3 linked regions of the Anolis sagrei genome follow. The protein of the gene in region 3 purifies or fractionates together with the protein of the main gene of each other region. This does not show direct contact. Links are inferred from orthologs where the notes say so. Each region holds a gene or a part of one and is shown on either strand. Other genes may lie near its edges. The genes, in order: STK38, STK38L and MOB2.

Region 1 (7,135 bases), on a different chromosome or scaffold from region 3:
ATTTAAAAAGGGTCCATTCCTTTCTGAAAAAAATACATCGCATAGTACAATTTCTTTTTGTGATTCAAAGAAACCATAGATCCTTTTCAACAGCTAAAAGTTTCTGTTTCTGATAATAACGATGAAACAGAATTAAATGATGTCATTTGGTGAGCAGGAAGCAGAGTTTTCTACTATGCATGCTGGCTAACAAGGCACACAGGAGCCTGCTATCTTAAGCACATTGGGAGTTTATTCCCTCCAAAAAATCATTATTCTCAAGAGTAGAGGAAAAATCATGAATGCGATCTTACAGGTTGAGCACCCTTTATTCAGACTTCCAGAAGTGTCCATATGGTGGCTGAGACAGTGATACATTTACTTTTCAATTGTTCAATGTAACCAAATTTTGCTTCATGCACAAAATTATTAAAAACACTGTGTATAAAACACTTTCAGGCTATGCATATAAGGTGTATATGAATCCAATAAATGAATCCAATGTTTAGAGTAGGGTTCCACCTCAAAGGTATTTTATTAGGTATTGCTACCCAAGTTATCTATCGATCTACATATGCTTGGATAGCATAGGGATGAGGAGTTAACAACCCTGTGCTGTTTGTTTTGCTGTGACCTGTTCAGAAGACTTCGCCTCACTCATATATATATAGAGAGGTACAGTTTTTATTTGTCTTTATTTGTTTGTTTGATTTCACCCTTTTTGGATTGTAAGTGTGACTGCTATTATGTACATTGTTTCCTCTTGCTGGTTACATTCTTGTCTTTTTGGTTTCTGTGTATGTATGTAATGTGACTTGATACTGTTGTGAGCCGCTCTGAATCATTGTGAAGAGGGGATGGGATATAAATTGAGTTAAATGTATTGTCGAAGGCTTTCATGGCCAGAATCACTGTGTTGTTGTAGGTTTTTTGGGCTATATGGCCATGTTCTAGAAGCATTCTCTCTTGACATTTTGCCTGCACAACCACAGACCTCACAACCTCTGAGGATGCTTGCCATAGATGCAGGCAAAACGCCAGGAGAGAATGCTTCTAGAAAATGGCCATACAGCCCGAAAAACCTACAACAACCCATAAATTAAGTTTATTATTATAAGTTTATTAAGCTTCCCTGAGTCCCCTTGGTGAAAAGGGGCAGAATATAAATAAAGCATTATATTATTATCACACTTACGAAATGTACCTGTTCCAACTAACATGCAAATTCAACTTAATAACAAACCTACAGAACCTATCTTGTTTGTAACTTGGAGACTGCCTGCATTCCAAAACCAGTCTTCTGACCCTAAGTCAGGGGTCATCAAACTTTTTAAACAGAGGGCCAGGTCACAGTCCTTCAAACTGTTGGAGGGCCAGATTATAATTTGGGGGGAAAAAAGAATGAATTCCTATGCACACTGCACATATTTTATTTGTAGTGCAATAACACTTAAAAACAGTACAATAATTAAAATGATGAACAATTTTAACAAATATAAACTTATTAGTATTTCAATGAGAAGTGTGGGCCTGCTTTTGGTTGATGAGATAGGATTGTTGTTGTATGCTTTCAAGTTGTTTCAGACTTAGGCTAACCCTGAACGAGGGCCAGGTAAATGACCTTGGAGGGCCATATCCGGGCCTTAGTCTGAGGACCCCTGCCCTAAGTATTTCATATGGGTTTTATTCAATCTGAATGTGTGTATAAGGCAGGCATGGGCAAACTTGGGCCCTCCTCCAAATGTTTTGGACTTCAACTCCCACAATTCCTAACAGCCTCAGCCCCCTTCCTTAAGCGGCAGAGGGGGAAAAGGTAGGGGCCTGTGGCTGTTAGGAATTGTGGCAGTTGAAGTCCAAAACACTTGGAGGAGGGCCCAAGTTTGCCCATGTCTGTGATATAGCCATGAAAGGATGTCACATTGAAGATGAAGCAAGCTGGAGGGGCAAACTTTGCCCATGCCTGGTATAAGGTGTATATTTATTTATTTATTTATTTGGCTTGTATACCGCCACTCCCAATTTGGCTCGGAGTGGTTGGTTAAAGTTGGTTGTATTGTTTTAATCTACTGCTGTAGCAGTAGATTAAAACAATACAACCAACTTTAAAATACAATAAAAACGCGAAACAGACATAGTCCCGAGTTATTCACCCATCGAAAGCTTGTCGGAAAAGAAAGGCTTTACAGGCTTTCCGAAAAGCAAGTAGCTCTCGGATGGTTCGGGTTTCAACTGGCAAGGCATTCCATAAATAAGGGGCCACAATCGAGAAGGCTCTCTGCCTAGTAGAGGACAGATGATAAGTCCGGATGTTGGGGACTTCAAGCAAATTTTGGTCCTTGGACCGAGGTAATCTCTGGGGTTGGTAGGGGGATAAATTTTATGTTGGGAGTTTTATGCTGGAGTCCCATCTTCAAGCTATCTCATTACCCTATGTAAGTATTTCAAAATAGGAATGAAAGGGGGGGGGGGGACCCTAAAATCCTACACACTTCTGTCCCTTTCATAAGAGGGATAGTCCAATATTCCACCTGTAACAACTATAGGAACTTGAAAGTTTAATTTAGGTAGTTATGCATCATTGGGAACCCAGTATGAACCATCCCAAAAAGTTGTGAGAAGACCCAAGCAGGTGTTGAGGAGGGGGGGGGGGGAGAGGAGGAAAGGAAAGAGTTGGGAGAGGCCACGCTCCGCACAGAAAATGAGGGGAAACACGAGCAGAGGCGAAGGCAGAGGAGCTAGGCCAGGTTGCCATGGAAACGGAGAGGAGGGGGCCCCTCGCCTGAAGGGGCAAAAGCTTTGGGGTCTGAGGAGAGAGTGAGGGAAAGCGACCCCCTGGAAGGCAGAAGAGGTGGGGACAACTTACCGGGGACCCCGCCCCTCCTAGAGCGAGGGGGTGACGGCGGCGAGGCGCGGAGCAGCCCAGGAACTGCAGGAAGTGTCTCCCTCAGGCCTGCTCTTTCAGCCCCTCGCTCTCTTCTTCTTCATCCCGCCCCAGGAAAGCGCGAGCTCGAAGCCCTGGCCCAGTGCGCATGCGCGGCGGATCTCCTTCTCCCTCTGCCTGGGTCCCATCCCCGCCCCGCTTGTGGCCCGAAGGGGCGGGGACGGCGATGCGCATGCGCCAATCTCTTTCCGTCTCCTCCTCTTCTCGGTAGACTTTTACGGGGTTTGGTTTACGTAGGAGGAAGTTGGGTGGGAAAGAGAGAGAGTGGGCAGGTTGTACCCACGCGTAATAGGTAGAATGAGAAGAATAGAATAATAGTTAGAATGAGAAGTAACATATAATTCGAAATAATAACATTGTAATGTAGTAATACTAATATATATAGTATTAATAATGTTGTAATATAATGTATATTACATATACTACTACTTATGATATAGTACAATATGTTATATAATACTAATAGTATAATATACTGGCAGTGTATTATATCTTGTGGTATAATAACATAAGCCTTTGAGTGCTCTAACTGGAGGGCAGATGTGACCAGCAGTGCTGCATAATTTGAAGAGGCACGAATGGAAGGCGAAAGGGAGAAACGTGCCAAGAGGAAGGCATATCAAGCCAACCCTGATTGGAACTGCCTTCCACCTGGAAACCAATGTCCTCACTGTGGGAGAACATGCAGGTCAAAACAGCCACCTACAGACCCACCGCCAAGACACCACATTTGGAGGACCATCATCCTGAAGCTATGAGGGATCGCCTAAGTAAGTATGTAAGTAAAGTAAGGTTGTTGTTGGGGTTTTTTGGTCTTGTCTGGAGTAACTTGAGAAACTGCAAGTCGCTTCTGGTATGAGAGAATTGGCTGTCTGCAAGGACCTTGCCCTGAGGACGCCCGGATGTTTTGATGTTTTATCATCCTTGTGGGAGGCTACTCTCATATCCTCTCATGGGTAGCTGGAGCTGAAAGAGAGAACTCATATGCACACTCTCCAGATTCGAACGTTCAGTCCTGCTGGCACAGGGGCTCGTAGTAAAGTAAGTAAGAACATAGTACAATATAATAATATATTAATTGTGTATTATATATTACATGTAATATTACTAATAATCTTGCAGTACAGTGGTATATCGCAATACAGTAATATATAATACTAACATTCTGCTAGGCTAATAATATATTGTATTTATATAATATTGATAATATAATGTAATGCAATATAATACTAATAATATAATAATACTGTAATAATACTAATATATTAAATATAACAGTACTGACAATATATAATTATATACTGTTTTATTATTGTATATTTGAAGTTGTAATGTTTTTGACTGAGCTACTTTGAGTCTTCTTATGGAGAGAGAAAGTGGGATGTAAATGAATGAATAAATTCAAAATAGGTGGAATGGAAGGTAGAATAGTTAGAACAGGAATGGGCAAAATTCGGCCCTCCAGGTGTTTTGGACTTCAACTCCCACAATTTCTTACAACCAGTAGGCTGTTAGGAATTGTGGGTGTTGAAGTCCAAAACACCTGGAGGGCCGAAGTTTGCTCATGCCTGATTTACATTGTAAAATTATGCAGTTTGACTCCACTTTTAACTGCCTTAGCACAGTGCTATGGAATCCTGGTAGTTGTAGTTTGGTGAGCCACTAGCAGTTTTTAGCAGGCAAGGTGAAAGAACTTGCAAAGCTTAATTTGATGCAAACCTTACACACATATTTTGAATGTAATTTAAAGGGGTATCACACTGCATTGATTTTACAGTGTAGATGCACATCCCTTAGTGAGAAGAATTATGTATCTGAATCTTGTATCACTTTAAGCAGCCCTTGGAAAAACCGGGGCAACACAATTTGCATTTTTCTGGATCCTATTACATTTAATCCTATAAATATGTTTTATACTCGACATTTCTTATCATTCTGTGCTCCAGGCAAAGTAATGAGTTCGTATCCATGAAAGCTCATGCAAAAATAAAGAGCATTTACTCTTAAGGATGTTGCCCAATTATTTTCTTTTATATTCTTCCTGCCCCTGGGAACAAGGGAGAGGCCTTTTTGGCGATGGCTCCCAGATTTTGGAAATCTCTCCCTAGAAAGGTCCCGGTGGCTCCATCCTTACTCTCCTTCTGGAAGCAGGTAAATACACTTGTGTTTCATTGCAGTTCTTTACATATTGATGACAGCTAGGGTGCCAATGCTGCATGGTTCCGTTTTGAAGATTTTTGAAGGGGTTCCATGTAGTTTTTAATGTATTTTAATGTTTAAATTAAATAAATCTGTTTTACTTGCTTTTTATTCTTACGGTTTTATTATGATCTTTGTATTGTTTGTATTGTTTGTAGCATGTATTGTTTTTAATGTGTTACTATCTTCCTTGAATCTAACGATCCAGAGAAATTTCCTGATCATGTGACCTTCAATCAAAAAAACCTTTCTCAGATTAAAATATTAACATGTTACTTTCACTGTTTTCAGTGAAATTAATAAGAATGATAAAAAATAATAAAATCATTGCTTCCTCTTAATTATACTTACTTTTTCAGAATCACATAAATAATTTTAGGTGTGTTTACTGGGAGAAAAGTTTCACAATTCAATGAGAAGTATTGTTTTGATACAGAAATTAATCCCTATTTTTTTCAAAACTTGGGGGATCAGAGCTCTGCTAGTACAATTCTTATTATTATATTGCAATGCAAGAGAAAATATTGCACCATCTTTTGATAATTCAGCTTTCCATCACAACTCTCTTCTCTTGAGCTATGATGCTCAAGAGTTTTTAATCAGATGGTAGTCCACATTATTTAAACATTATGAACGGTACTGTGGAAACAACCATATGTCAGATTTATCCAATGTGGAGCTTTCCAAGCATTTCATGTTGGTGAGACACTTTTTAGACATTCATCATTTTGTGACACAGTAATTCAGTTCTATTAGCAAACCAGATATTAAACCAACCCCTTATAAGAGATATGGATGCACACACACACACCAACACATGCTCTCTCTCTCTCTCTCTCTCTCTCTCTCTGTAATAATGAAATGTAAGGGAACAGATACCATGAAAACATTTCATTTATATTTTTAAAAATATTGTTTGTAAGATAATAACATGTCATATCCCATTCTGTTCACATGACACACACACTGAAGCGGACACACTAATGTGTTGCAACACACAGTTTGGAAAGCTCTGATGTATGTGAGATAAACCTGGCATATGCTTACATATGGTACTATAGGAATCTTCATTGTTTATCCTGCAAAGGCTAATATGATTAAGACTGACAAATCATGTATACTTCAGTACAACACACTTTGTCATTCCAGGAACCAAAAGGGGGAGTAGCTAAATTCTGTCTTGATGATCTTCTCAGATTGGCAGCAATAACAAAAAGACTGTGTAGATAATGGAAGGATGTGCCTGATGAACATAAATTTTGATACTTGCCACCGGCCTTAGTTACTATAACTCTCCTTAACTTCCTTCACAGTTTCTGTAAAGACTTTCAGTTTCTCAGCAAAGCCTTATCTCCTATAACTTCTTTGGAACTGTATGTTAGTCATGCTGGTGACCTTAGACTGCCATATGTCTGTACTTCCTGATGTAGAATTTGAATTGTGTTGAAGTTTCCTAGAATTAGTCATCATAACAATTACAAATATTTTGGACTTAAATGTGACACTTAGATGAAAAATTCATGTCTGATTCTAAATCCACCTGCAGTTTGATATTACTGAGGAGATGATGATGACAGGAAATTTGTCCATAACTATGGAAGGCATTATCTTGTCTCCACTGCCAAAGCTAAAGGCACCCAATAATATTTTTGAGAATGTTTTTATCCGTAACTTTCATTCCATTTCTTTAAACACATGTATCTGGTAATGAAATATAGCCTTGCTTTATTTTTATTTAGATGGCTACAGTAAACAAAAGTACAACATTTTGATATAGTCCATGCAAATAGCATATACGATTGTATATTCCAGGAGACTGAAAATAGAACGGTTGTTTAAGCCAAATCACTGTGTGAGATGCGATGTCTATCTATCCATCCATCCATCTATCTATCTGCATTTAAACAGTTGATTTTTACAGAGCTCTCACCATCATTGGAAGTTAAATGTTGATATTGCTGTTGATCTGGAAAACAAAGCAATATCAATACTGCATTTGTAGTTGAAGTATGTATG
Region 2 (7,488 bases), on a different chromosome or scaffold from region 3:
ATGAGGGAGAGGGCCTTCTTTGTAGTAGCCCCTCGGCTCTGGAATTTGCTCCCGGAGATATTAGGCAAGCCCCCACCCTGGCAATCTTTAGGAAGAGCCTGAAAACTTGGTTGTTCCAGTGTGCCTTCAATGACTGAATAAACATTAACTCCTGACCAAACTCTGCATAAAATGCCCTTTAAAAAAGGTAAAGGTAGTCCCCTGACATTAAGTCCAGTCATGTCTGACTCTGGGGTGTGGTGCTCATCTCCATTTCTAAGCCGAAGAGCCAGCGTTGTCCGTAGACACCTCCAAGGTCATGTGGCCGGCAAGAAGCACTTTATTTTCTGGTACGTGCAATTCAATCTTGCCTTATCCCCCAGATCCCCTGTCCTGATATATTACATTGCCCTATCACTCAGTGGTTTTAAAATTTTAATCTTTGAAACTAGCCCTGCCCACTGTGATCATTTTTAGTGTTTAATGTTCTGATTTTATAGTGTTGTGCTGTTATGCATATTGGTTTTGTAATTGATGTCACTTTATTTTTTATTTTTGTTGTGTTTTTGTGTTGTACTGTGTTATTATACTGATGGGCATGGCCTTATGTAAGCCACCCAGAGTCCCCTTGGGGAGATAGTGGCGGGGTATAAATAAAGTTTAATAATAAAAATAAAAATGGTGGTCCATGGATACTAGGGTTTCCACCTAGGGAACTGGGGCACCCACAGGGGTGGGGGTTGGTGAAAGGGTTTCAGGGAGATTCAAGGATGGTTAGAATGGGGGGGGGGGGAGGGGAGGGAGAGAATAGGCCCATTCTGTAGAGCTGTATCATAGCTGGTTAATCGCCAGCAGCAATAGGTTACTGCCAACTGGGAAGTGGCAAGTTTGAAGCCCGAGTCGGATTGAACTCCCAACTGTTAAGCCTACTTAGTGTCCACCTAAGCAGTTTGAAAACAGCTGAGCCGTGTGTAGAGAAATTAGGTAACACTTAAAGCGGGGAGGTGTTTTATGGCACCATAAAAATGCCGGCAATCAAAGAACAAGGAGGAAATATGATCAAAATGACTTTGCATTATAGTGGATGAAGCGACAGCACACTGCTGCCATCCCACAGCCGGAATCAAGCATAACCTCAAGGAACTGAAGTTGGAAATGCCAAAATACCTCTATCTGTCTGTCTTGTATGTCTAAAAATGGCATAGAATGATTGCTGTGTATGTGTGCATTGTGATCTGCCCTTAGTCCCTTTTGGGGTGAGAAGGACGGAGTATAAATACTGTAAATAAATAAAGACATTTTGAGGGCAATGGAGGGCTGTGGGGGGCACTTGGGTCATGAGGCACAAGCAGCCACCAGGCTGGGTGAAAACAAGAGAAAAGAACTCAAAGAGATTAAAAGAGATACAGAGAAGTAAAAGTAAAGGGTAACCATGTTTATTTAGGGGTTAGAAACACTACAACTAATAATAAAGGGGAAGATTGCTGTCAAAAATATCCAAACCTGCTGGGCTCCTCTAGTCTGTTGATTGTCCGCAAAATGGGAGTTTAAAAATAAGCACATTGCAAATAAGTTGATTTTCTTACTATTGGCTTTCTTCAAAGTTCAGCTTTCACAGAAATGTACATAGAAATGAGAACCATAACCGAATGGACAATTACAAATGTACTATTCAATGATATATTTTTACGTCTTGTTGAGTTCCATTATAGATTCCTTCTGAGAGTGCATCTACACTGTAGAATTAATGCGGTTTGCCACCATTTTAACTGCAATGACTCGATGCTATGGAATTCTGGGAACTGTAGTTGCAGAAGCTCAATAGTGTAGCTCAATTTGGCACCAATTTAAGTGCTATGATTCAATGCTATGGAATTCTGGGAGCTATAGTTATGCAAGCTGTAGAGCAAGGGTGTCCAAACTTTTGATGAGTGCCAGTTCATGGTTCCTCAGCTTGTTGGGAGGGGGCAGTCTGAAAAAAGCATGAACACATTCATATGCACACTGCATATGTCTCAATTGTGGTGCAGCTGGCTGAGTGTCAGCTGCATTAAGATCACTCTGACCAAAAAGGTCATGAGTTCAAAGCCAGCCCGGGTTGGAGTGGGTTTCCAACCAATTGTGTGTAGCCTGTTGTTGACCTTTGCAACCCGAAAGACAGTTGCATCTGTCAAGTAGGAAAATAAGGTACCACCTTAAAGTGTGGGGAGGCTAAATTAACTGATTTGTGAGGCCATAAAGAAGACTCCAGCAAAGCATTCCAGTGGGAAAGCATGCAGGGAATGCAGAAGTGCTTCATCAGCATCGCAGATGGATGATGAAAGTGATAGCTCCCCTGGCGGCCAGAAAAAGTTAAATAGCCTCTGTCTATGTCTGTATATCTTTGTATGTCAAAAATTGGCATTGAATGTTTGCCATATATGTGTACACTATAATCCGCCCTGAGTCCCCTGCGGGGTGAGAAGGGCGGAATAGAAAAGCTGCAAATAAATAAATAAATAAATAAATAGTGCAAAAATAACCATGAAAGAACGATCTATATATTATCTATATATATTTAATATATATATTTAAAAGTCAGTGTTCATATGTATGTTTGGATGTGGCAGCTTTCTGATTGGCTGCCACTTCCACAGACCACTGCAACTCCCACATATGATGGACCTGGACCAAACTTGGCACACATAAACCCCATGAGAGAGAAAAGAAGTGAAGAAGGAAAAAAGCAAGGGAGGGAGGCCTTGGAGAGGGCAGGTGGAAATTTGAACAGGGGTCACAATTAGCCTCTGGGCCAGACTTTGGACATGCCTGCTCTAGAGCTTGATCTGCCAAAGAGGGCTGATGCCTCTCCAAACTACATCTACCATTTTTTTGGTCATGTAAGAAGCGACTTGAGAAACTGCAAGTCACTTCTGGTGTGAGAGAATTGGCCATCTGCAAGGACATTGCCCAGGGGATGCCTGGATGTTTTGATGTTTTATCATCCTTGTGGGAGGCTTCTTTCATGTCCCCACATGAGGAGCTGGAGTTGATTTAAAAGCTTCCAAAGAAGGAGCCTCCACCACATTCTGGGGCAGAGAGTTCCACTGCTGAACGGCTCTCACAGTCAGGAAGTTATTCCTCATGTTCAGATGGAATCTCTTCTCTTGTAGTTTGAAGCCATTGTTTCGTGTCCTAGTCTCCAAGGAAGCAGAAAACAAGCTTGCTCCCTCCTCCCTGTGGCTTCCTCTCACATATTTATACATGGCTATCATATCTCCTCTCAGCCTTCTCTTCTTCAGGCTAAACATGCCCAGCTCCTTAAGCCAAGCCGTTTTCAAGGGCAGCCCCACGTAGAGCGCATCACAGTAGTCCAATCTAGAGGTGACCAAGGCATGGACCACCCCGGCCAGATCAGCCTTCACGAGGTACAGTCGCGGTTGGCACACGAGTCTCAATTGTGCAAAAGCCCTCCCGGATACCGCTGAGCCTCAAGCGTAAGTGATGAATCCAATAGGACTCCCAAACTGCGGACCTGTGGCTTTAGGGGGTGTGTAACCCCGTCCATGAGGTCTCTTCCAACTCTTTGGAAGCCTGAAGAAGAGAAGGCTGAGAGAAGATATGATAGCCATGTATAAATATGTGAGAGGAAGCCACAGGGAGGAGGGAGCAAGCTTGTTTTCTGCTTCCTTGGAGACTAGGACGCGGAACAATGGCTTCAAACTATAAGAGAGGAGATTCCATCTGAACATTAAGAAGAACTTCCTGTGAGAGCCGTTCAGCAGTGGAACTCTCTGCTCCGGAGTGTGGTGGAGGCTCCTTCTTTGGAAGCTTTTAAACAGAGGCTGGATGGCCATCTGTCAGGGGTGATTTGAATGCAATATTCCTGCTTCTTGGCAGGGGGTTGGACTGGATGGCTCATGAGGTCTCTCCCAACTCTTTGAGTCTAAGTGTCTGGACTGACCTTGAAGGAGCTGAGGGTGGTGACGGCCGACAGGGAGCTCTGGCGTGGGCTAGTCCATGAGGTCACGAAGAGTCGGAGATGACTGAACGAATGAATAACAACAGATATTATTCTCTCACACACACAGATATAGTATCATAGATTTTAAAGAGACCCATAAAGAAGGATTATGATATGTTGCAGATTCCAGAGCAGGCAAACCAGACACTCTCCACATCAACACTGGCAAAGAAACAGCAAGAAATACTGTTTACCCACAAGTATAAAGAAATTACGTATATTAGAAACCAACACTTTCTCATTACTTTATTTTCCAGATCACCAGACTGGGCCACAGCAACGCGTGGCAGGGGACAGCTAGTACCGGGCCTTTCTCCTCCTCTCAAGGTACTCAGATGAACTTCGGCGCGAGCACTCAGCCCGCCCACTTTCTAAGCCTCTCCACGTGGGCAGCCTCTTCGCCACGCCCCATTCTTCCCAGGAGCCAATCACCAGCGGTGGCGCCTCTCTCCTGCTTCCCCTTTCTCGCGCCGGGTCTCCACGCTCTCGCGAGAGTGTGTTAGTAAACAGTTCGACCCCGCAGCCTCATTCTAGGCGCCGGAGAGGGAGCCGGGCGAGAGGGAGAAGCGGCTGAAGGTAAGGTCTTCGGGGAAGGAGGAATGGGGAAGGAATGACGGAGCGGAGGCCCTCAGGCTCCCTCAGAGAAGGAAGGAAAGGGGGTCGGCCTGACTGGGGTCATCCTTGTGTCACGCCTCCTGAGGGAAGTCACCCTCCTGGCCTCACACCACAGACTCGCAGTGGGCCAGCCTGAAGGGAGGAGTCCCAAGCCAAGGAGAAAAGGACGGGGAAGAATCCTGCATAATATCTATCATATGAAGAATCCTCTGCGTGTTTGAAATTACATTTCACCCTGTATTCCGTTTCTCTCCTTATGCTGAAGGAATGTATGGACATAATAGTAGTAATAATAATAGTACTGACAATAGGTGCTCTCTTGGCAGTGCAGCCTGAATGGCAAAGGCTCAGGGAATGGCCGCCTCCTCCCCCTACCTGGGGAAGGGATTGCTTTGAGCCACCCATCTGCCTCCCAGGCCCAGGGAGATTAGCTGGGAAGCTGCTCCTTGAACCGGTTTTTTCAAAGCCTCCTACCCTGGCAGGAAAGGTGGTTCTTGGACGAGAGCCGGAAGTGCTTTGCAGCCCCACACATGCACCAAGTCACCTTCAGGTTGGACCCCAAAGCCTCGTGGTTTCACAGCATCCGTGGGGTTGGGTTTCAAGTGCATGTGCACATTCAAACCTCTGGTGCAGTCTCAAAATACACAGTTGTAATGAAATGCTCCACTCTCAATGGGTTGTCTTTGATTTGAATTGGGCAATCAAAGAGGCATCTGGTTGACCTGTGTGAAAGTTAAGACCAACAACCACCATGTCAGACTACACAGAGAAGCCATTGAAATCCACAAGCATGTGGACAATTTCAACAGAAAGGAAGAGACCATGAAAATGAACAAAATCTGGCTACCAGTATTAAAAAACTCTAAAATTATAACAGCTAAACAACAGAGAGGAAAAAACCAGGCACAGATTAACACCTCCCAGCAACAGATTTTCCCAGGCTCAGGAAGGCCTTCAAATGCTAATGAAGGTGATCAGCTAAACATTCACACCTAACTGCAGCAGGGAAGAGCTCCTTGCCCCACCCCAGCCATTCCACAGATATATAAACCCATTTTTCCTACTTCCAACAGACCTCACAACCTCTGAGGATGCTTGCCATGGATGCGGGCGAAACGTCAGGAGAAATGCCTCTAGAACATGGCTCTATAGCCCCAAAAAACCCACAAGAACCTAGTGATTCCAGCCATGAAAGCCTTCGACAATACATTAAGACCTATGTCTTTAAGGCAGTGGTTTGTTTGTTTATTTATTTACTGCGCTTATATACCGCAATTCTCAGCCCAAGGGCGACTCATTGCGGTGTACAACATGAAAAAACAAGTGCAATCTACAAAGCATAGTGCAAAACATTCCACAATTCATCATAATCATAAAAAACATCTTATCAAAACAACATTACTACAAAATTACTACTACATTCCGAATCGTCTCATTGTCAGACCACAATCCGATATCATTTCCGTTGTTCCATTCCTATGGTCAATTGCCAGTCATTGCACTTCTTGATCAAATGCCTTCTTAAATAGCCAGGTCTTTAACTTCCTGCGGAATATTAGCAGGGAGGGGGCTAGCCTGATGTCCACAGGAAGGGTGTTCCACAGCCAAGGAGCCACCACCGAGAAGGCCCTCTCTCTCGGCCCCGCCAGCCGTGCCTGTGACGCAGGCGGGATCGAGAGCAGGGCCTCCCCGGAAGATCTCAAGGTCCTTGTGGGCTCATAGGCCGAGAGGCGGTCAGTTAGGTATTTTGGGCCGGAACCATTTAGGGCTTTATAGGCCAACACCAGCACCTTGAATTGAGGCCGGTAGCAGATCGGCAGCCAGTGGAGCTGGTACAGCAGGGGGGTTGTATGCTCCCTACGTCCCGCTCTACGACCCCAGGTTGGTTCTCAACCTGGGGTCCCCAGATGTTTTTGGCCTTCAACTCCCAGAAATCCTAATAGCTGGTAAACTGCCTGGGATTTCTGGGAGTTGTAGGCCAAAAACAGCTGGGGACCCCAGGTTGAGAACCACTGCTTTAAGGAGTTTATGAATTACTAGCCGTCCCCTGCCACACGTTGCTGTGGCCCACATGGGGGTTCTGTGTGGGAGGTTTGGCCCAATTCTATCGTTGGTGGGGTTCAGAATGCTCTGTGATTGTAGGTGAACTATAAATCCCAGCAACTACAACTCCCAAATGTCAAGATTCTATTTCCCCCAAACTCCACCAGTGTTCACATTTGGGCATATTAAGTATTTGTGTAGAGTTTGGTCCAGACTCATCATTGTTTGAGTCCACAGTGATCTCTGGATGTAGGTGAACTACAACTCCAAAACCAAAGGACACTGCCCACCAAACCCTTCCAGTATTTTCTGTTGGCCATGGGAGTACTGTGTGCCAAGTGTGGTTCATTTTGGTTCATTTCAATCGTTGGTGAGGCTGAGAATGCTCTTTGATTGTAGATGAACTATAAATCCCAGTAAGTATAACTCCCAAATGACAAAATCAATTTTTTTTAGTGAAGGACATCCATTGGGCTGTTAGGTGTCTTGTGTCCAAATTTGGTGTCAATTCGTCCAGTGGTTTTTGAGTTTTGTGAATACCACAAACGAACATTACATTTTTATTTATATAGATCAGGGGTCCTCAAACTAAGGCCCAGGGGCCAGATGCAGCTCTCCAAGGTAATTTACCCGGCTCTTGCTCAGGGTCAACCTAAGTCTGAAACAACTTGAAAGCACACAACAATAACAACAATCCTATCTCATCAGCCAAAAGCAGGCCCACACTTCCAATTGAAATACTAATAATTTTATATTTGTTAAAATTGTTCTTCATTTTAATTATTTTTAAGTGTGTTTTTTTTGCACTACAAATAAGATATGTGCAATATGCGTAGGAGTTCATTCAT
Region 3 (7,027 bases):
GTCTTTTCTGAAGCCAGGATAATTGAAAGGGGGGGGGGGGGGAGAGGAATAGGACAGTCTAGTTCCTTTAAAAGCAATGTCAAGAGTTGTACGTTTTCACAATCTTTATCTGCTATCCCAAACAGATCCATACACACTGCCATCTATCTTTTTAAACACCGAATTATTTACTTTTGCTGAGCAGTCTATCCTACTTGTTGCTCCAAGCTTCTTTTCTAGTCACCCTTTTCAGTTGTACCCCTTTTTTAAACAGAGCTATTAAATTTTCGATTCATCAGTCCTGCTGATAGCAAAATAATTACATAAAGAGATGTGGACATATTTAATTACTCATTTCCTTTCTTGCTGGCACTTCAGGTAAGTACCTGAATACATAAAGAGTAACTCATTTCGTATGTGAGTTTTTGATTTGTCTCAATGCTTACTTCATTTTTCTGTTTGTTTGCCTTTCTTTTTCTTTGGAAAGACAAATGAACCATACAAATTTCTTTCACTTCCTCTATGATTTCATCACTCACCTTGCTCGGAGATTTGGAGTAAGAGATGGGGTGAACACACAACAAAATAATCTTACACCAAACTAGTATTGAGAGGAAAGCTAAGAATGTAACTTGCATACATTATACCATATAAGTAAGTTTCCCTCATAGAATTTATTTCATTGCTGCTAGTTATGGAGGAAGCCAAGAGGCTATACATGACACTGATGTCTTATCACTTATTACTGGAAATCACAAATTATGACACTACTTACTTCCAAATAACTCTTTCACAACTATTAAGAATAAAAATGTGGTTTACTGCTCTTTAGGAAACTGAACCAATAAAGTATTTGTTCTTTAGGAAGCTGAACCAAGGCAGATATGTATTTATCTATGTATGCATGCAAACATGGATTTGGCTTTTTGGTAGTCCTGTTCTTATCTTGCTTCATGGCACTCTTCCCTAGCTCATCGTATTTTATCCTATACGTTCATTAACACCTCACCATTCTACCCCATATGGAGTCTAATGCATCTTAGGCATCTCAAAGTATTGACTACTCTAAATGTGTCCCAATTTTTCATGAAAAAAGAGAAAGTGTATTCTTATTCAGCAATTTATTTTGAAAGTGAACCTATATACTATAGGTTCACTTTTAAACAAGTGAACCTATAGTATATGTAAAAAGGTTCCAGCAGTCAAAAATGACAAAATGATTCCATGGTGATGTCATTTTCTCTTCTTTGTTAATTGAAGTTTGATTCAGCAGAAGATCTCAGCCTACGCTGATGGGCAAGCCGCAACTCCACCCCCAAAGACAGGCATTAGATTTAACTCTCAGTGAGGTGATCTCACTCATATGCCATATCATTAGTGTTTTACTCATGACTTAAATTCCCATTGCTTAATCAGCTATGTTTTCTCCATCAACCAAGTCATACATACTACATATGCAATCAGGTTCGGTCACTTTCAGATAGAAAGCAATGCTGTCATGGCAAGTGATATTTAGAAGAAAATACTGTATAGATTTATTCTGATGGACATAGAAAAAAACATTTGTTTTCTCCACATATAAGTATATTATAGGTGGGAGGAAGAGAGAAGAATTAAAATGTTTACTTAATCTGTGAAATATTAGTACATTATACGAGAGTATAGCGAATTCCGAAAGTCATTACTTTCAAGCCACACATGTAAGACTTATAATCTGTTCCTAAAGGGTATAAAATAAATAAGAGACCAGGTTGGAATGGATAAAGAAGAGATGAATTTGTAATAGAGTGCAACAGCATTCAAAACAACTTATGCCATATCGAAATACAGTTTGGAAGGAGCTGTCCTAAAGCAAGTATTTTATGTACTAAGTTTAGGTATTAATAAAAGTCTTTACCAGTTTCATGCTGACAAAATATTTTAACTATTAGCCTTTAGTAGTAGGAACTAACTCCCCAAAGTTTGCCAAAAACAAGCTCTGTGCTTCGCATTTCCCCACTAGTAACCAGATTTTAACAGCTCTGTTTAACACCACCTTAAAGAAGAATTAGTGTGTGATTTAAATAAGAAAAACTCCAGTTGAAAGGTAATTTTCCATTTTGTGTCAGTGGGGAAAAAATCCTGCAGGTACAATGGATAAGTATATTTTCTAGTCAGAAGCCTGACCCCTCATCTTAATATTACGTAAAACGTACATGGAGTTTTCAACATGCTTCTGAATTTCAAACAGCCTTATAAAACTCAAATTTTATGAACAAAACCTCTGAAACAACAACAAAAAAATAACAGGCCATTTCTGTACATCATCACTGGGAGGGAAAAGACATATTATGGGTCTTACTCTAAAATGCGAACAGGATTGCAGATTTAGTTGAGTTCCTATCCTGTAAGAGCCACAGCTGAGATATATGATGCAAATTTGGTTTTCTCATGTTAAACAAGGGTAGTAAGCAAAAGCATACATGATGAATAAGCAAGGAGAAAAATTACACACATGCTACTTTCATTTTTTTAATCTGAATTTTAAGCAACAGAATATGCTGGATAAATCAATCCATTTAAGTTACTGTCATCCTCACGAAAGCCCAGGTTAAACATCCCACAGTCATTTCAACAAGATTTTTTCTGAAACCACTCCTATACTCATTTGTCTCTGAAGATCAAGACTGCTATTTTGCATCTTTAAATTCAATGCTAGTTTTGCCACTGATCTCTACAAGGTTCAGATGGACCCGAATTATTTCAGAGACAAAAATGTTCCAGAATGAGATTGTGGCAAAAGCTCTCTCTCTCATCTCCTTACCCTCCCATCAAGATGATATTTTGTAGAGGTTGTTACCTTAATACTTTGCCCACTGCCTGTAGGACCATTTTGCAGCTTAATCCAGTTTTGGGAGTTTGAGAAAGTACAGGTCTTTCGCCGCTGAGATTACAATGATCCCCAACCATGTTAGAGAGAGAGAAAGAGAGAGAAAATGAGGAGAAGAGGGGGGATTGGGAACTGCCAGTACAGACTTGAGTCGCTTTACCAGATCTCTCTCCTTCCCTTCTAAAAAAAAACTAGTCCAACTACATTCACAGAGTTTACACAGCTTACTTCACTCCAACCCTCCCTGCCTTCTTCCCTCCCTCTTTCCTTCAGCCAATGACAGAGCGGCAGAGGAAATAGGGGAAAAAATTCGGCTGGAAAAGACAAACAGCTGCTCCTTTTTACAAACCCTAAGTAAAAGCCAAGGCTGAGGAGCCAATGCCAATAAGGAAGCATTTGAATTGGCCTTTTCAGACTGGCGCCGACTGTGCAACAGGACAAGAGAAGTAGTGTGAGGCACAAGCAAGCATCTTTCAAGTGCCCTGTTTGCAGTGCAGTGTTACAGAGACACTGAGTGAACAGAAACAAGGAGGAAGCTCTTTTACACTCAAACGCCTGTGATCTGTGGGGTATTCAAGTACACAGGGGGGCCCACATCTAGTGATTCTTCACTTCATATGCACACATTTTACTAGGAAGCACTTATGTATTGCTATCTGGTATGTCTAATAGTATAGGGGAGGATCAGTATGATCAAAACACACATTAAAGAGAAAGGCCACTAATTCAGCCAATACCACTTGCAAATACTCCTTTCAGGAGGTATTTATCATATTTCTTCTATTCTAAGACACCATTAATTGTAAGAATCACTCTAATTTAAATATCACCAACAGAATATATATGGAAGCACCATGATTCTAAGATGCACCCCATTTTTAGAAATGTTTACATTGGTGAAAAAAGTGAGTCTTAGAATCAAAGAAAAAAAGTAGATCATCCAGATGTGCCTGAAATAAATGTACTCTCTCACATAATACTCCATTTCACCCAGCCTCAAATCAAGTATGCTTTGTTTGAAATGATCCTTCATGGCATGACAAACCCAGTGTGGATGCCAAAGTTAATAATTAAGCTGAAATAAATCTAGTTTATATTGGAAAGTATTTTGACTTTTCAGAATCATGTCCAACCTATGCATAGCATTCATCCAGAAGGTGTAGCACTATCTCTGACACATGCCAAATTCTCTGTACCACAAGGCTTCTATTAAGCACTTTACTGGATGCAAGCTCAAGAAGGCATGGCATTCACCCTTCTCTAAACCGCGAATAATGCCAGTCAACAGTGGCACACTATAAACCCTTGATTTAAGTGATGAGGGTAAACAAGTGGGTAAGGTGGTAATTTGCATACAACACCACAATCCAGACAATACATTTCCTCCTGAAATACTATGTCTGCCTTTGTGGTGACATTTGTGCTTATTGTATGATACTGCCTCTACATTAGGGTTTGCATTATACTGCTAATATGCAGGCAAAGTGATAATTTCATTACCACTACATCTCTCTGTTTTAAGCATGCCAGGTCTGTCAACAGAGGAAAGCTATGGAAAGTCTAAGAAAATTTGTTCTCCATAAACAGGGCTGGCTATGAAGAGTAATTATATGGTCCTACTTATACCAATAATATACACAGTCACTTTAAAAATGCAATATGAAATAAGTGAAAACAGAATTAGTAAGTGAAAATAGAATTAGTAAAAACCAAATGGAACTAAAACTTTGTCTATAGAAGCAGTCTGCGATGAAGCAGGCACAGGAGTCTAATCAAGATACGGGAAAGGGAGAGTTAAAAAACCAATTCGGCCAATTCGTGAGCAAACCTTAAGAAAAATTCCAAAATGTCCTCCCGACATGGTAAACTTGGGTTCCAAGGTAGACGGTCCTCCCGGATTAAAGGTGGTGCTGTTGAATGCCAGGTCTGTCAATGGTAAAACATCAACCATTCAGGATTTAATCCTGGATGAAAAGGCAGACCTGGCGTGCATCACGGAGACCTGGTTGGACGAGGCTGGAGGGGTTAATCTCACTCAGCTTTGCCCACCAGGTTATGCCGTGCAACACCAACCGAGACCCGGGGGGCGGGGAGGCGGAGTTGCAATAGTCTATAAAGATTCCATCTCCTTGGTCAGGGGCCCGGCCTTACAGTCGACCTTGTTTGAATGTGTCCACCTGAGGCTAGGAGACCGGGACAGAATAGGGCTGTTGTTGGTGTACCGACCACCCCGCTGCACCACGGCCGCCCTACCTGAGCTTGCAGAGTTGGTCTCAGGCCTGGCATTGGAGTCCCGGCAGCTTGTAGTGCTGGGGGACTTCAATGTCCATGCAGAGACCACTCTTTCAGGAGCGGCTCAGGACTTCATGGCTTCCATGGCAACTATGGGGCTGTCCCAATTAATATCTGGCCCTTCCCACTGTGCTGGACACACACTTGACTTGGTCTTCTGTCAGGGCTGGAAAAAAAAGGTGGCGGTGTGGAGGAGTTATCAATCTCCCCTTTGCCATGGACTGACCACCACCTGATCAAGTTTAGACTTGCTGCAACTTCTAACCTCCGCAGGGGTGGTGGACCCATTAAGATGGTCCGCCCCAGGAAGCTTATGGATCCAGAAGGACTCCTGATGGCTCTTGGGGATGTTTCCGCTGCCTTGGATGGTGATTCTGTCAATGCCCTGGTCGCTCACTGGAATAGGGAGTTGACTAGGGCAGTAGACACGATTGCTCCAGAGCGCCCCCTCTTAAGTCATCGAGCGAAACCGGCCCCTTGGTTGAACGAGGAGCTGGTGGAGCTAAAGCAAACAAAGAGGTGGCTAGAGAGCGTGTGGAGGAAAGAGCCCAGCGAGTCAAACCGAACACGCCTACGCCTCTATCTAAGGGCGTATGACGCGGCAATAGAGGCCGCGCAAAATGCTTTCTACTCGGCCAATATTGCATCCGCAAGGAACCGTCCGGCAGAGCTGTTCCGAGTAGTCAGAGGGTTGTTGAATCCCACCTTGAGTGGGTCCCCTGACAACTCGGCAGCGCACTGTGAAGCATTTGCTCAGTACTTTGCAGACGAAGTCGCTTTGATCCGCGCGGGCTTTGACACCACATTAACTGCAGTCTCTGAGGATGTAACTCAAGCATCTGCTTGTCCAGTTTTGTTGGATGCGTTTCGATCTGTTCAACTCGACGAGGTCATCAGGGTTCTGGGAGAGGCGAGGCCTACCACATGCATCCTAGACCCCTGACCTTCCTGGCTGCTAAAAGAAGCCAAAGGGGGTTTGGCAGAGTGGGTAAAGGTGGTGGTTAATGCCTCCCTTCGGGAAGGCAAGATTCCAGCCAGCTTAAAACAAGCTGTCATCAAACTGCTGTTGAAAAAAACATCACTAGACCCCACTCAATTCGTCAACTTTTGGCCAGTCTCCAATCTCCCCTACTTGGGCAAAGTCCTGGAACGTGTGGTAGCCTCGCAACTCCAGGAATTCCTAGTGGACACGGACTATCTAGATCCGTCACAGTCTGGCTTTAGGCCGGGACATGGTACTGAGACAGCCTTGGTCGCCTTAGTTGATGATCTGCGCTGGGAACTGGACAGGGAGACCCTGTTGGTTCTGCTGGACCTCTCTTCGGCCTTCGATACCGTCGACCACGGTATCCTTCTGGGACGCCTCACGGGAATGGGTCTTGGGGGTACTGCCTTGCAGTGGCTCCGGTCCTTTCTCGAGGGTCGCTCCCAGAAGGTGTCACTAGGGGACTCCTGCTCGACTCCTCGGCCATTGCACTGTGGAGTCCCGCAGGGCTCAATACTGTCCCCTATGTTGTTTAACATATACATGAAGCCGTTGGGAGAGATCATCCGGAGTTTTGGGGTGCGATGTCATCTGTATGCAGATGATGTCCAACTCTATCACTCTTTTCCACCTGCCACTAAGGAGGCTGTTCAGGTCATGAACTGGTGCTTGGCCGCTGTCACGGACTGGATGAGGGACAACAGATTGAAACTAAATCCAGACAAGACAGAGGTACTCCTGGTCAGTCGTAAGACCGAACAGGGTACGGGGTTACAGCCTGTGCTGGACGGGGTCACACTTCCCCTAAAAGCACAGGTACGCAGTCTGGGAGTTCTCCTGGATTCATCGCTGAGCGTGGAACCCCAGGTTTCAGCGGTGGTCAGGGGAGCTTTCGCACAATT

What was found.
Region 1: the proteins of MOB2 (region 3) and STK38 purify together in Homo sapiens (affinity purification with mass spectrometry; 7 studies listed by BioGRID and IntAct, with this or other methods). This does not show direct contact. The link is inferred for Anolis sagrei from reciprocal best matches to the Homo sapiens genes MOB2 and STK38.
Region 2: the proteins of MOB2 (region 3) and STK38L purify together in Homo sapiens (affinity purification with mass spectrometry; 9 studies listed by BioGRID and IntAct, counting the BioPlex papers as one, with this or other methods). This does not show direct contact. The link is inferred for Anolis sagrei from reciprocal best matches to the Homo sapiens genes MOB2 and STK38L.

The regions. Positions count from the first base shown.
Region 1 is NC_090024.1:187,272,156-187,279,290, reverse strand, and holds the start of STK38 (serine/threonine-protein kinase 38), read right to left. Parts: upstream 3,054-7,135; 5' UTR 2,843-3,053; intron 1-2,842. UniProt on the Homo sapiens protein: Serine/threonine-protein kinase that acts as a negative regulator of MAP3K1/2 signaling. Converts MAP3K2 from its phosphorylated form to its non-phosphorylated form and inhibits autophosphorylation of MAP3K2.
Region 2 is NC_090025.1:91,934,924-91,942,411, forward strand, and holds the start of STK38L (serine/threonine-protein kinase 38-like), read left to right. Parts: upstream 1-4,451; 5' UTR 4,452-4,558; intron 4,559-7,488. UniProt on the Homo sapiens protein: Involved in the regulation of structural processes in differentiating and mature neuronal cells.
Region 3 is NC_090021.1:243,704,607-243,711,633, forward strand, and holds the start of MOB2 (MOB kinase activator 2), read right to left. Parts: upstream 3,056-7,027; 5' UTR 2,929-3,055; coding exon 2,819-2,928; intron 1-2,818. UniProt on the Homo sapiens protein: Stimulates the autophosphorylation and kinase activity of STK38 and STK38L.